3 linked regions of the Caenorhabditis elegans genome follow. The protein of the gene in region 1 purifies or fractionates together with the protein of each later gene. This does not show direct contact. Each region holds a gene or a part of one and is shown in the gene's direction. Other genes may lie near its edges.

The links. Proteins that work in one complex are often made in the same cells at the same time.
Region 2: the proteins of trpp-11 (region 1) and C25H3.14 fractionate together in Caenorhabditis elegans (co-fractionation; one large-scale study listed by BioGRID). This does not show direct contact.
Region 3: the proteins of trpp-11 (region 1) and cht-3 fractionate together in Caenorhabditis elegans (co-fractionation; one large-scale study listed by BioGRID). This does not show direct contact.

The regions. Positions count from the first base shown.
Region 1 is NC_003281.10:793,605-798,175, forward strand, and holds the start of trpp-11 (Trafficking protein particle complex subunit 11 domain-containing protein), read left to right. Parts: upstream 1-1,531; 5' UTR 1,532-1,534; coding exon 1,535-1,650; intron 1,651-1,697; coding exon 1,698-1,789; intron 1,790-1,835; coding exon 1,836-2,025; intron 2,026-2,689; coding exon 2,690-3,104; intron 3,105-3,547; coding exon 3,548-3,839; intron 3,840-4,164; coding exon 4,165-4,418; intron 4,419-4,571. Other genes in the region: rps-29 (Small ribosomal subunit protein uS14), read left to right, coding at 705-766, 966-1,065, 1,334-1,342.
Region 2 is NC_003280.10:5,693,511-5,696,882, forward strand, and holds C25H3.14 (Acyl-coenzyme A thioesterase 13), read left to right. Parts: upstream 1-1,872; 5' UTR 1,873-1,883; coding exon 1,884-2,158; intron 2,159-2,536; coding exon 2,537-2,621; intron 2,622-2,676; coding exon 2,677-2,748; 3' UTR 2,749-2,848; downstream 2,849-3,372. Other genes in the region: eif-2D (SUI1 domain-containing protein), read left to right, coding at 1-34, 79-252; C25H3.3 (Acyl-coenzyme A thioesterase 13), read left to right, coding at 696-970, 1,016-1,100, 1,143-1,229; C25H3.10 (F-box domain-containing protein), read right to left, coding at 3,184-3,372.
Region 3 is NC_003282.8:7,001,980-7,009,646, forward strand, and holds cht-3 (Chitinase-like protein C25A8.4), read left to right. Parts: upstream 1-1,643; 5' UTR 1,644-1,645; coding exon 1,646-1,753; intron 1,754-1,871; coding exon 1,872-2,149; intron 2,150-2,214; coding exon 2,215-2,425; intron 2,426-2,471; coding exon 2,472-2,566; intron 2,567-2,944; coding exon 2,945-3,212; intron 3,213-3,258; coding exon 3,259-3,615; intron 3,616-3,665; coding exon 3,666-3,964; intron 3,965-4,010; coding exon 4,011-4,388; intron 4,389-4,675; coding exon 4,676-4,947; intron 4,948-5,026; coding exon 5,027-5,154; intron 5,155-5,196; coding exon 5,197-5,287; intron 5,288-5,613; coding exon 5,614-5,717; intron 5,718-5,762; coding exon 5,763-5,851; intron 5,852-5,901; coding exon 5,902-6,295; intron 6,296-6,779; exon of another isoform or gene 6,780-6,800; intron 6,801-7,120; coding exon 7,121-7,252; 3' UTR 7,253-7,289; downstream 7,290-7,667. UniProt on the Caenorhabditis elegans protein: Putative chitinase.

The DNA.
Region 1 (4,571 bases):
CGCTACATAGTACGAAAATCGTGAATAATATAATTAAATTTCAGATTTTTCGAATTTTTTTGTCTGAAAAAATTTTGGAGCACAAAAATGTTCTTTCCTGTCGTTTTTCCATTCAAAAGCGCGGCTCCTCCCTCCTAAACGACCCGAAGGAGGCGGAGCAGTCTTGGTGTGGGTCTCGCCGCGACTTTGACACACGTGAAACGAGTGTGACCGTACCCGAGTGGCGGAGTGTTCTGCAAAAATTGCGTTTTTCTTCCTTTTGGCCTATTTTTCGATGGATTTTTGTGTTTTTTGTTGTTAAAAATTCGAAAATAAATGAATTTTTTGTTGGAAATCAAAATTTCGTGCATTTTCTCACCAAAAACGTCAACATTTTGCTAAAATCGCCCGTATTTTCTGCCTCTTGGCCGAAAATCAAGTTTTTCGATCTATTTTCCATATTTTTGCAAGGAAAACGATTGTTTCCGTAATTATAAGTAGCAGAATTAAATTAGAAGTTTTGTAACTAGTTCTTCTGGAAAGATTTCGAAAAATAACGAAATTTTACGGAAAATGCTGTTGTTGCTTTAATTATCGATTTTTTGACGCATTTCGCTTTTTTTCTCACCGTCTTCTTGTTTTCCGCTTTTTTCCTCCGTTTACAGCTTTTTCGAAACATTTTGCATTCTGAGATGTTAATTTTGTTTCCATTTCAGCTCTCGACAATGGGTTTCCAAAATTTGTGGTTCTCTCACCCACGCAAGTTCGGACCAGGATCCCGCTCCTGGTAAGTATTATTTTCATCAAAAATTTCGAATGCAGATGTCCATTACGAAAAGGCTCTTTACCTTTTGACGTTTAGTTAAATTTGCGAAATAAAATTGATGTCTCGAAGACATGTGCTTCATATTTTGATGCTCATGTTCAAGATCAGCAAACAAACCTGAACTTGGTGTATTTCAAATACATTTATCTGAATTTTTCAGCCGCGTCTGCGCTGGACACCACGGACTTATCCGCAAGTACGGCCTCGATCTCTGCCGTAGATGCTTCCGCGAGCAAGCCAGAGACATCGGATTCAAGAAGGTAAATTTAACTAGATTATGCAAAAAAGGAACCTTATCCAACTAAAATAATATTTAAAAGTTCAAGTAGGATGAGCAGATGTCCATTACGCGAATGCCTGTGCTTTTCGACGTTTAGTTTAGTCTGCAAGATAGAATTGATGTCTCGAAGACAGGTACATCAGCTTTTAGAGTTCCTGTTCAAGATCAGCAAACAAACCTGAACTTACTGCAAATATACTTTAAAATAAATAAGTATTTTATTATCTGTCAACTTATTTTTTTTTCAGCTTGATTGAGCAACCAGCGTCCACGTCTGCAACCGCCTCGTCAAATCTTGTTATTGTTAACTTCATGTCTTCAATCAATAAATTGTTGGCATAATGTCTATGTTATAATTTTATGTGAATAATAAAACAAACGGTTCAAATCTGGAGGAGGACTACTTTTTTATTGGGGAAGGGATAGTAGAAACCGTTCAATTGTAGCAGATGGATCCAGTAGAAGCAGGTGATTGGATAGCCGGTCGGCCACTTCAACTTGTCTTCCTGTCGGGATTAAATCCAGTGAATAAGCCAGCTCACAACAGTATCGTCAATGTCTTCCGGTACATTGAAACATGAAGAACTTCCTCAAACGCCAAAAATAATTTAGAAACCGCACAGCCGACAAACCACCACTTCATATTCGCGTAGTTTCCGGAGAATTGGATATTCCACCGAAACGGGAGACTGGGTCAGGAAAAGGTGCCAGAAACTGACAAAATATCGATTAAAAACGTCGATTTTCCAGGAATTCTCCGCCGTGAGTGGCCTCAAAAGTATCTGGATAAGGTACCGGCACTGATTGTCGTGTTCATTGATTTAGAATGGGATCATCCATCTTGGGAAGAGAAGAAGACTGAAGCAGAGAGCAAAGTTGCAAGTATAAGAGGATCGCTGCGTCATGGGACGAAAATTGCGCTCGTTTTGATTCAGCAAAAGTGAGGAAATGCTGAAAAAAAACGGTCATTTCCATGAAATTTCCGTAAAAAGTGACTAAATATGCCGATTTCCGTGTTATTTTTTCATGAAAAATGGTGATTTGATTGTAATTTTCCATTAAAAACTACAGAAACTGGCAATTTTCGTAGAATTTTGTGGAAAAATGACCGAAAAGGGTGATTTTCGTGTAATTTTCCTGTAAATACGCCCGAAAAAGCTGAGCATGACTATTTCCATGCGATTTTTCATAAAAATGACTAAAAGTTTTGATTTTATTGTAGTTTTCAATTAAAATGACAGGAAATTGCAATTTTCATAGAATTTCGTTGAAAAATGACAAAAATTTCCATTTTTCATGCGAATTTTTCATGAAAACTGACTAAAGTTGCTTTTTTCTGTGAATTTTTCTGTAAAAACGCCCGAAAAAGCTTTTTTAATGAAAAATTTCTAAAAAGTGTGATTTGTTTATAATTTTGTTAGAAAAACCACAAAAAAAAATCGAAATTTTCAAAAAAACTTTTTTTTTTGAAAAAAGCTTGAGAGCTAGAAATCAAAAAGAAATTATAGAAAAGCTGCGAAGAAACTCTTTTTAAAAAATTAAATTGTTCACAAAAAAAATCACAGAAAGCTGTGAGAAATCCCTTAATTTCAACAATTTTCCAGATCAACAAGCATCAGTGACAATCTGGCAGCAGACAGAGCTCACGAACTTTGCCAAGCATGTTCCCTCTCGTCAAAACAACTTTTCATACTTCCCGCGGACAATTTATTGGCTCCGAATACCACAAATCTGCAGAATTTCGCGTTAAAACTCGAGCTAGCATTCCATGAACTGTGCCAAGCATTCTATCAACAAAGATTGAAAACTATTCGATCTAGAAATATTCCGAATAACTCGCCGGCGTTAGTCGTACGACAACAATTCAAATTGGCGTTTCTGTCAGAACTCAGACAGGATACTCATACAGCATTGAGAAATTATCGATTGGCTTATGATCAATGTCGGGATACAGTTGAACAATGGGATGGAGTCGATGTTTTTGAGTGGAGAAGTGTTGTTGGATTGCTTAATTATAAGGTACAGCAGGGATTGCTGAAAACCAAGAATTCCGTTATTAGTACTAGGGGTGTCCGATTGCCGGAAATTTTGAAAACCGGCAATGGCCGAAATTGCCGATTGACGCAAATATAAATTTGATACTTTTTGTAGTTTTAGGAGCTTAAACATGCATTTTACTGAACAATGTTCTCTTTTTAAGCTCAAAATGGCTTAATCCTTTAAGGGTTGCAAAAGGTGAAATTTTTTCAAATTCCGATTTATATTTATTTTCGAAAATTGCCGCGCACCCCTGAGCTGAATTCAGTGTATTTTTTCGAAACTTTGAACCCATTTTGGGTTTATTCGTTCAAAATCGTCCGAACCGTTAATTCTCGTTCAAAAAATCACATCAACAACAAAATATATGCTTTAAATAAAACATAACATAATTATTATTATTTTAATTGCAATTAAATTTTCAGATGTGCGAATTATGTTTCCTCCACAGTACGGCACTCGAAGCAATCAATCAAATGCGACGTCACACGACAGTATTCTTCTCTTCATCACCGGGAATCTATCCAACACCACATCTTGCTTCAATTGAACTTTTGCTCTGGAAATCCAAGCAATGTTATCAATTTGCACATTTATTCGAGAGATCAGTTGCCGGCGGACTATCGGCACTTGCCACTTTGAATCCTGGAACACATTTGGATCAAGCTGCTAGTATTTATTCCGCTGCGAATACTGAAATTGCTGCGTTGAAGAGAAGTGAGGTTTAGCACGAATTGTTGATACTTCTGAAAAGATGTACCAAATTTTAGTTCTAATTTGAAATTTTTATAATGGTGAAGCCTTTAAAAATATAAAATTTTGAAAAATGTGTTTTTATTCTACTAAACGGAAATTTACAAAATCAGACAATCAATTACCGTTCGCCACATTTTTTTGTCAACAAATTCCGCAAATTGTCAATTTGCCGATTTGCCGGATATCAGATTTGCCGGAAATGTTTAGAGGGATTTTTTAAAAAGACGGAAACACTTAAAACTGTGCCTTTTTGAAATTGTTTTCCCGTTTATTTTCTAATTTCCAGATGCTCCACAAAATGTGCCATACCCATCCCCAGATCCATTGGCAAACTCTTCCAGTACTGTATTTTTCGGCCAACGTCCATGGAGAATAAATCATGAAGGATTGGCAACTGCAGAAGTTGAAGCTGCTGCAGTTACAGCAATTATTCAAAGGCTTGTAGTCAATCATGAAGGTGTAATTTCATTGTTATCAGCTGCATTGGCTCAATATCAGAAATATGGATGTTTGAGAATGAAGAAGAAGGTTATGATGGAGGTAATTACAGTTTGAATCATTTTCCGGCAAATCGGCAAACCGGCAATCTGGTTTTGCACATTCTTTTGGAAGTTTTAATTTCAATTTTTGAGCGGCAAAATTGCACGCATCCTGGCAATTTGCCGAAAATGAAAAATTCCGGCAAACCGACAA
Region 2 (3,372 bases), on another chromosome or scaffold:
AATTGACATTCGAACGATTTGCCATCAAATTCAGGTAGTTGGTGGCTAATCCTTAAATACTAATTTCTGAATTTTCAGACTGGTGTGGCTACTAGTGTTACAAGTCAATGGGAAGTTCCTGGCGTCGAAGGTCCTCAAGTACTCGTTCAAGGAAATCAAATTCATTTTATCGCTGATCTTCTGATAAAATCGTATGGAATCGACAAGAAATTTATGAAAGGAACCGAGTTGGCGGTGAAAAAGAAGAAATAAGAAAATTTGGAGAAATTTGCAAATTCAAATAGTATTAAATCTGTTCAATGTATTCCCTCACACCTTAATTTTTTTGTTTTGAAATTCGGTCTTTCTTTATTTATTAAATACCCGTGTGTTTCTAAGTATGGGTTGTATTCGTATTTTCGGTTCCATAAAGATTCATGAAGAACTTTCTCTTATCGTTTTGAACATATCCGCTTGGTGAATTATCAGTGCCAATTTAAATATTACACATACGCGAACATTTTCGATTTTCGGGCAGAAAAAAAAGGTATTAGGTCTCGCCACGCTTTTTTTGTGAGATAAAAACGAGGGTGTGCCTTTAAAGAGTACTGTAAGTGTCGAGACCTGGTGCCGCATTTTGGACCCAAGATTTCGCGTCTGGGGGATAAATTGTTCTAAATTTTTAAGATGTTAATCCATTTTCAGATTAAATCAAAATGCCTTCAAAATACATGCAATTGGCGAAGGAAATCATCAAAAATTATGGAACCAAGGGTCAATTCGGATGTGTTTCCGGAGCAGGAAATGTGAGAGCAGTTCATGCGGAGGAAGGAAATCTACGAGTGGAATTTGAAGTTGAGAAAGATCAGTCAAACCATTTTAACACTCTTCACGGTGGATGTACATCTACGCTCATTGATATTTTCACTACTGGGGCTCTTCTTCTCACAAAACCAGCTAGGCCAGGAGTATCTGTTGATTTGCATGTTACGTACGTAAAGAGAGAAGAAAATTGTCGAATTTGATAGATTTTTAGATACCTGACCGCCGCTAAAATTGGTGAGACCCTTGTGCTCGACTCCACCGTCATCAAACAAGGAAAAACTCTTGCATTCACAAAGGTAAACTTTAAGAAAAGTTTTAAAAATATTATTTTTTTCCAGGCAGAACTCTACCGTAAAAGTGATAATGTAATGATTGCAACTGGAGTACATACCAAAGCATTCCCAACTGTGAAGAAAGCAAACTAATCAATATATTCCAAGACATGGAAATTTGCGATCCGTGCGCCAAAAATACGGTATCCGGTCTCGACACAAAATGTTTTGGTTAAATGAAAAAAGGTGTGCTTCTTTGATGAGTACTGTAATTTTAGACTCTCGTTGTTGTTGAAATTTCATTGATTTTTCAACAATTTCCCATCAATTTTCGATAAAAAAAACATTTATTAATTTATTTTAAAACTCCCATACATCAATTAAAACTTTTTTTTTTCAGAAAATCGCGAAAAAAAATCAAGAGTTGGAATTTCCAGTAAACTTTAATGGCGCACACACCTTTTCCCGTTATAAAAAAAGTTTTCGTGTCGAGACCGGCTACCGTGATTTCTGCCCAAAAATCGCAAAATTTCGTGTCTGGAATACCTCCTAAACATAATTCCTAGACACAATTTCTAATTTGATCGTTTTGAAAAACATTTCCCTTGTGTACAAAACTATTATTCCGCAATAAAATTGTAAAGAATTCTTGTTTTTTTTCCAATTTTCCATAAATACTCGTTTTAATCCGAGTACTCTGTACATGTTTTGATGGTAAGAGAATCCACGCAAGTCTACGTGGTTATGAGATTTTTGTTTTGAAACAAATATTTTTAAATCATATATTTTTTCTAAGATTGCTTGAAAATGGCATCAAAATACATGCAAATTGCGAAGGAAGTGATCAAAATGTTCGGGACAAAAGGACAATTCGGTTATGCGGCTGGAGCACGGAATGTGAGAGCAGTTCATGCGGAGGAAGGAAATCTACGAGTGGAATTCGAAGTTGAAAAGGATCAGACAAATCAATTCGAGACACTTCATGGTGGATGTACAGCAGCACTTATCGATTGTTTCACAACTGGTGCTCTTCTACTCACAAAGGAAGCGAGGCCTGGTGTTTCAGTGGATTTGCATATTACGTGAGTATCTATATCTAAATAGAGGTTTCCTAGATTATGCAATGATTTGAAACATATAAGTCTTGCGAACAAGTGCAATATTTAAGCCAAAATTCAGTGTGGGGTCCCACCACGACCGAAATGTTCTCAGCTACGGTACCAACGAACTTTTTCTAATGTTTTCTAATTTTTCCATTCCAACCTTTAATTTAAAACTACAGATTTATTGCAAAACCAACAAAAAAGAGAAATCTACCGTACTCACGAGTACGGTAACTGAAAAGTTTCGCTCATTCTAGTACCCCCATACCTATATTTTAGCTTTATAATCGTTCATTTTCGTAAACTAATAATGCCAGAAATTCAGGAGAAAATATTTATGATCATCGTAACTTCCAGATACTTGACAGCTGCAAACATCGGAGAAACTCTTGTACTCAACTCTACTGTCATCAAACAGGGGCGCTCTCTTGGATTCACTAAGGTATCATATTTTTTTATTCTTGAATATTTCTGATTACAAAAGTGTTTTATTTCAGGCAGAACTCTATCGTAAAAGGGACAATGCAATGATTGCTACTGGAGTCCACACCAAGGCGTTCCCAAAGTGATCGCTCACCATAAAATAAATAATGTTATATGCAAATTAAACTAGAATTATTTTACCATGTATTCCATTTCATTTCAGAAAATAAATATCTTTATCAATATATGTGTTTGTTTGCCATTAAAAAACACAAATATCGGAAGTGAGAGATCATTTGTTGTAAGGATAATGTGTTTTAAAGGCTCCGTATCACACGCCAACGCTCTGAGTTGATGCTCAGTGAAATACCAAAAGTGACGAAGAAGCTCAAAATTCATATTTTTTGGATGCAAATCATAGAAAGAAGTCTTATAAAAAATTCCATTAAAAAATTCCGAACATATCTTGCTGCGGTTATGTTGGAGGCAAGAAAAAAAAAAGAAATCATAATCGCCTTCGATCACTTTTTTTATACACATTGTTTATCATGAAAACTTATTCCAAAACAAGATACCAAAATTCACCACAAATATTCTAAAATTTTCAATTGCCTTATAACCAATGATGGCTGTTTCGAGAAGTTTGTACTTTTGAAGAATCCAATTTCAAGTTCCTCTTTTCCTTCGTCTAGATCCCGAGACACTTTCCACGTCGTTGGTGTTTTCTGGCAACTCTCATTTTTCAGTAAAATCAATAATTCGGGAATTGG
Region 3 (7,667 bases), on another chromosome or scaffold:
AAACGAAAAAACTTTTTTAAAAACGAAACAACTTTGTATTTTTATTCGTAATTGAAGATTTGTTGAAACAGGCAAAAATAAGTGAAATTTGACAAAGCAAAGTTGAGCAAAAAAGTGCAAGAAAAAACAATATTGAAACAAACATTCATATTGTGAATTGATACTTGAAATTAACGGAAGAAAAATCATTGATTGTAAGGCAACATGTTTAACCTCAAAACCCATATTAGCCGTTTCTTCCCTCTATTCCTTACTCATTTATGTGAGAACTGCAGATGTTGCAAACTCGTCATAAATAACTCGTTTGGGTGATGACAGTAATGTCATGTCACATTAAGAAAAGAAATGAAATCATATGAGATATTGAGAAATACATGAAAATTTAGTTCTGCTGAAACGAAAAAGTGCTCATATTTATGAAAACACTCATTCAGATTTCCGAGAATTATGATAATATCACGGAAAGTTTTATTTTAAAAAATGCTCTGTGCCGCTTTTGTCGATACAACTTCTGAAATTTTCAAAACCACCGCGGTGCCTCCCAGTAGGACTTCAAAAATTTATCTACCCATCTTGAGATCAAAACTTTCGAATAATTTTTGGCGACTGTCTTTTATAAATCAGGTTAAACTCCCAATGGATCTTTTTGCTTTGTCGCCTTATTCAAAACAATATCCCAAATAAATGAAATATTGTAGGATTTGTGTGACAGTTAGAAAACTAACTTGTGAGGCGGCAAAAATGACGAATTATTTTCTGTCTAGGGACACTATCCCCACCCGAGAAAAAGTAAAAACGCCGGCGACAACTACAAGAAGGACGAGGACAAAAGTGTTTCTTGTCAGGAGAAAAGAAGGGAAAAGGGTTTGTCAACATACGGAATACTGAAATATTGGTCCCCAGGGAGATCAAAATTGAAAACGGAAGGTTAAGGGAAAAAGTGGGTGGTTATGAAACATTGAGATCTTATTGAAAACCGAGGGAGAGTTAGAAATGGTTTTGACAAAAAAGTGAAAGACAATTTCGTAACTGTAAAATTCCTTGATATCTTGTGGAAATGTACCTGTCAGGGGTGTGAGGTGATCAAATTTACCGTTGCACCCAAAATGGAGCAATTATTTCTAACCTTTGAAGGCTAAAATGTTTTAAAATTTCAAAACAAAGACAGTTTTTCTTCAACTGCAGGCTCGAAAAACCTTGAGAAGTTGGAAATATGTCAATTGATTTGGAATTTATTCTCTAATTCTGATTTAACGTGAAGTTTATGGATACCAAACTTTAAATTTAAAAAAACTACAAAACTTTCTACAAGCATCCGTATCTCTATTTAAAAATAAAACATTTTCTTACATCATGCAATTGTTTCCCAGAGAGCCAACAACCAGTCAAATCTCGGTTTCAGCGACGAAATTTCAAATCAATCACCTAAAAACCAATAACATGTGGTATGCGAGGCTTTTGGATCTTCCGCCCACTTTATCATTCCCGAATCGCTTTTTTTATCTGCAGGTCAGCTCTTTTTTCTGGTTGAATCTGGGCACGAAAAATCGTATATAAAAGAGATAGAATCAGCATGCTTCTGTCATTTTTCCTCAGAGTTTTTCACCTTCTTATTGTGTTTTTATAATCTTTCTTCTTTTTAGAGATGGGTATAAAAACCCTCATTTGGCTGTCAATACTTGTAGTAGGCATATACTGTGAGATAAGTGATGAAGATGCTCCTGTTCATTATTGTTTTGTCAATCCTCCACCGGTAAGCAGCCATAAATGTTATCAAACAAGCAATGTCAATCAGAGTTTCAATTAAAAAATATTTTTTACTAAATATTGGTTTAATAGTTTTGATAATTGTAAAAGGCTCCAAATTGCAGAAAACTCGTCTCTCCCCAAATCTTCTTCAAAACATCACAACGTGCACCCATTTAGTGTATGGAAGTATTCCAATTGATCGAGACACTGGATATCCACAGTACAGTGTATCCGATGTTGAGTCTGGATATGATATTGACAATATTCGAACTTTCATGAGATTGAGAAAATATCATCCAAATGCCAAACTCTTGATGGGAGTTGTTAGAACAAAACCGTTTGAAGACGCGGCTACATCGGTGAAGGTTGCAAACGGGCTCCGATCTCATGTGAAGAGCAAGTGAGTTTGAGAATTTTGGGAAATTGGTCATCACAGCTTTATCAAAACTAAAATTTATTTTCCAGAAGATTCGATGGTTTATTTGTAACTTTCAACGGCATTCACCTTGAGTATCGAGCCTCAACGAGTTTTCTTGAAACGATTTCAAAAGACAAAAAGATGTCGTTAACATTTGGAGTCACAGGAAGAAGAGTTTTTGCATTTGATGCATTAAGACGACTTCAAGAAATCAATGATCTCGTTGAGTATATCTATTTGGATATGGGAGAATTGCCAGTAAGTATTTTCAGTTTAAAAAATGGTTGACTGGAGTTATTTTTAGTCAAACGAGGAACTTGCCAGAGTCACACACATAAATCCACTTTTCTATAATGGATCAATTCCGTTTGAGGAAACAATTCAAGGAACTGTCGAAGAGTAAGTCAAAATATATAGGTGAATTAGATCCAATACGGAATTTTCAAAGTCTGTCTTTTGAAAAATTCCAAATATCACAGTAAAACTTTTTCACTTTGATTTGTGTTTAAGTTATTGTCAAACATAGCCACTTCCTCATTTTTTGCAATTCATAATTTTGGAAAATGTTTTTTTTTTAATTTTACTGTTTCTTATGTTATTATTATCTTTTCATTTATTTTTTTTACCATCCGATGCTTTCAAAATGTTGAAAGAAAGTTACAAAATTCTGCAAAAAATTTTCAAAAAATGTTTAAAATTCTAAAACATTTTTAATAACGAAGGTTTTTACTCGTTTTGTGTATAAAACACCTATTGTCGTAACAATAAAAATTTAAGGTTGTCAAAAGAAGGAATTCTCCCTTCACGTATCGTAGTTGGACTGACTGCTGGAGGATGGAAATTTGAAATCAAAGAGACTCAAGATCCATTAAAAATCTCTCATGGACAATATGCTGAGAATAATGGAAAACGAGTTTCTTATCAAGATGCTTGTAGAGCTAGAGGAGCTGTCATTTATGATTGGCAGACTATGAATGAAATTACCGTGTACCGTCAGACGTGGATGAGTGTTAATCTACCAACAATTAAGGCTATGGGAGAAAAGGTCGTTGCAACTTATGCTTTAGCTCATGAAACCTATTGAATTCCAGATGAAATGGATATTGGGTCAAAAGTTTGCTGGAATTGGTATTAGCCACGCCCTCTTCGATGATCCACGTGGAGACTGTGGTACAGATCCGTTGCCAGCTCATCGTCTTGTCATGGAACTAATTCGTAATACTATTCCTGCGAATCCAGCCAAATGTACAAGACTCTGCTATTTGGATCCGGAGGAGGTTGAGGAAACATTCCCAATTGATAATCTGAAATCTGACTACTGTAGTCATATTGTTGTTCCATACTTCGCCCTTGATCTCTCCGACAAAATGATTGAAGAGGATAAAGCCGAAGATCTGGTGAAGAAAATTGATGATTGGAGAAGCAAAATAGTTGAAGTGGCACCGAGGGTAAGAACTCTTTGAAACCGTTTTCAGATTTCAAAGGAAAACTATTTCAGCTTATTCTTTCTGTCGGATCAAAACAAGCCTCAACAATATGGCAATTCCTCCTTGGAAACGATTTTCATAGAAAAGAACTTGCTGAAGGTCTTGTTAAAGCAATCAATTCAACAAACGCAGATGGGCTTGAGATTTCGTGGACTTCTCAACCAATGGTCAGCGATTTTGATAAGAAGAATTTGAAATCATTTATCAATGATATCGTCGCAGCGGACACAGCAAAGATGGTGGAGATCGTTGTGGCAACTTCACAACAGAGCGCTTATTCGGACTTTTATGATTATGAGCATTTGAACAAGTTGGTTTACTTTAATATAATATTTATTTTAATTCAAAAATTTTAGAACTGCATCACTAATTGTCCTTCACTCTCATCGTCTTCACTCGGATTCTCTTCCATTCACAGGACATCCTTCACCTCTTCGTGCCACTTCATCAATGACTAATCAAAAAATGAGTTGGGAATCGTTGCTCTCTCACTGGGTCGAAAAACGTGTACTCCCTTCAAAACTTGTATTGTCTCTGAGTGCATCCACTTTATCCATGCAATCACTTGCTGATGTGAGAAGCTCAGCTGCAACTCCATTTGGACAATCAGCTTTTGTGTCAATGTTGAGATCGAAAAAAGGAGATATTCATAGTCAGCAGGAGATCTGTGAAAGCCTGAAGTCTGGAACTGGTGTCACTCATTGGGTTGATGGAGCTGAAGTACCATATTTGAGGTAAGTAATATTTTGGGATTTATGGTGAACTGAGCCCTTTGAGAATTTTATTCTAAATTATTTCAAATAAACTTCCCCAGTGTACAAAGCGAAAAAGTTTAAGCCAATTTAATGACATGAGAAAAACTGGAAATTAGTTTCGTATTTCTATCTCAATTTAACAAAATAATATTTTTAAATTTATATTTAAGTATAAATACGGAAAATGATTTAGCAAGTCAATTTCCAGTGGTTCAAGTTACTACCAGGACCAAAATGTGAATTATCACAAAATGCAATAACTTCAGACGATACGATCAAATGGTAGCATATGAGAATACTCGTAGTGCTCACATCAAAGCAGTATGGGCATCAATGGAAGGTGTTGGAGGACTTGCTCTTCACAACATGCACCAGGACGATCCGAGTGCAGTTTGTGATAACCGTACTGCATTCCCCATTTTAAATGCTCTTTCTCGTGCTCAAGTTTGTCAGACTTGCCTGAAACAGCATGACTTCAAAAAGTGTGAACAACACGATTTCGTGGTTAGCTGCAATTTTGAATTGAAGAGGAGCACTCGTAAGCTTTTTTTTGGATTTTCTGATGTGTGAAATTTGAAACAGAAAATTTTATTTTTGAAAAATTTAATATTTTTCAGCTGTTTTCAAAACGGACATTGTCCCATACGAGCGTTGCACGGAAGTTGTCGTTGAGCAGGCAACACTCACTTTAGGTGGAAATGTGAATTTCAATGATGTTCAACAAGAACAAGTTGTTAAGAATTTGGTAAGTTTTCGCACCTGCCTTGTAGTCTATAATGAGTTTTAGACATCATTGAGGTCAAAAATGGTTAAATGTGGAATGGTGCTTTCACTATCATGCGGTGATTCTGAGAAATATTTGAATTCAATTCTTGGTGGTGAGTTTCATTTTACAATTTGTAAATTACAAATTAAGATCATGTTACCTGGAAGAAAAGCTCTTAAACATATTCCTGAAAGCTTTTTCAGTGCATACTTCCAATATTCGATTTTTTTTATTTTTTGCAAACCTATTACGACTTTGAGAGATTTTAAGGTGGCCGAGGATTCTGAAGTTTTTGAAAATGAAACAAAATCTGAAAAATCTTGATGCGGTTGGGTGTCTGAAAATCCAAAAGTTAACTCGTACATGATTTTTATTGAAAAGCATTTGATTTTTGTTAACTTCGAAATTAAGCCCATAACCAATTTTTCCATATTGTAGACAACATGACATTTGCAATTGGCAACGTGATGAATATTATGGAAAAGTACAAATTTTCTGGAGTACAATTGGATTGTGAAAAAGTGATTCGCAGAGGAAACCATGTAATTTATTAGGTTTAAGAATAAATTACCTATGAATCTATTCAGATTTACTTCAACACATTCGTCAAAAAATTGGCACAGAAGTTTGAAAGCGGCAAGGCTTCCAATGGGTGTAACAGGACACTTTCAGCAAGGCAACCTTTTCATAGAGGTTTTTAAAAAGCTATATATCCCATTATTTCAGATTTTCCCATTACACACAAAAGCCGTCAACGTACTACAGTGTATCTCTATTGAATCGTCTGTCTCACATTGCATTAAGAATGACTGATAAACATTCCGTTGATCTTCCATTCTTCTTCAATCACACAAAGCCTGAGTTCCCGTCAACTGAGAAATTTGTGAATATTTGGAAGAATGTGGGACTGAAACCGGATAAGCTAGTTTTGGAACTCTCGCCATTTGGTTGGCAGACTGGAAAGAAAGTGGGGGAGAAGAAGAAAATGACACAAGGAGTTAATTGTGTAACTGCTGGGAATAGAGCTGTCTACGAACATGATTATGAAACATTGACAGGAATGACCAAACATGAAAATGGAACTATCAACATGCCAATGATTGAAGATTTTAGATACAAAGTAAGTTTCTTTTTTGGCATTTATAGCTCCCGTGATGACTGATTTTGAGATCTGGCGAGACCCCACTTAAAAAAATAAAGTTTCACATTTTCACGAAAGTAGAATAAATTACTGTTTTGTTTAAAGGGGGACTAACGGTTCGGACGATTTTGAATAGACTCAACATGGGCTCAAAAGAACAAATTTCGTAATGAAACTTCTCAAAAAATAATATCAAAAATTTTTTGTGGCAGTTCAAAATTTGAAAAAGTTACACTGCTATTAGGTAAAATCTCGTTTTTACCCACTTTTCCATATCGCGGTCCGAAGTTGCCCTTTTTTTGAATTATTGTTCTTTATTGCATATTTTGGTAGTCTATATCATTTAATTTCGTTTATTACAGTACATTTGAAGCCGATAGGTAACCAATTTTGATGATTTTTGGTTACCTATCGGCTTTTAATGTGCCTTTACCGACAAAATTTAATAAGATAAACTTCCAAAATTTGGAATAATGGATGTACAATAATCAAAAATTTTCAAAAATTTTTTGTAAACTTTTTGAAACAGTAATTTTTTTCAAAATTTCTCAAAATGTGATTGTTTTTGAAAATCTGATAATTTTCCAACAATTTGACGGAAAAATTTGCTAATCGTAAGTCTAAAATCTTTTGAAAGGTTCCATTATGATATTCTGTCATGTTGTATTATTAAAAGTTTAACAAAAGCCACATTATATTATAGCTGAAATCTCTACAAATACAGTACATATAATAATTTTTCTAGAAATTCTGGAAATTCTATCAAATTTCTAGGATTTTTTATTCAAGTATTCAAATTTTCAGATTGGTTACATCCAACGTGAACAGCTCGGCGGTATTGCATTGAATGTAAATGGAGATGACTATACTGGAATCTGTGGGCGTGGATCATTCCCAATTCTGAAATCTGTTTATAGTTCCCATAAGTGTCGTTAATTTCTGAAACTTCACAATTTTGATAAATAATTATTTTATTTCGTTTGATATCGATAATGGATGAGTTCAACTCTCCCACACGACCAAATTTTTTTTTACGAAAAAAAAGGGAAAAAGCGGGGAAGGGGGAATTGGGACACCATTTACAAAATATGAATGGTTTTTGTTCAAAGTTCCCAGTGATAATAATGTAGACTTAGTTGGTGCTAGAGGAAGTTCATTTAACTTGGACAAATTAACAAATTTGTTGATTTTGACGGTGAATATTCTGTGATCGAGGAATTCCTTGAACCAGAAACAAGCTAGTCAAGACCGAACTTGGCAAGTTTTCCTAAGAGACTGTGTGAAACTTTGTTAAAGGCTTTAACAAAATCAAAAAATATAATATAAAGAGATTTTTCTTTCATTAGAAGTG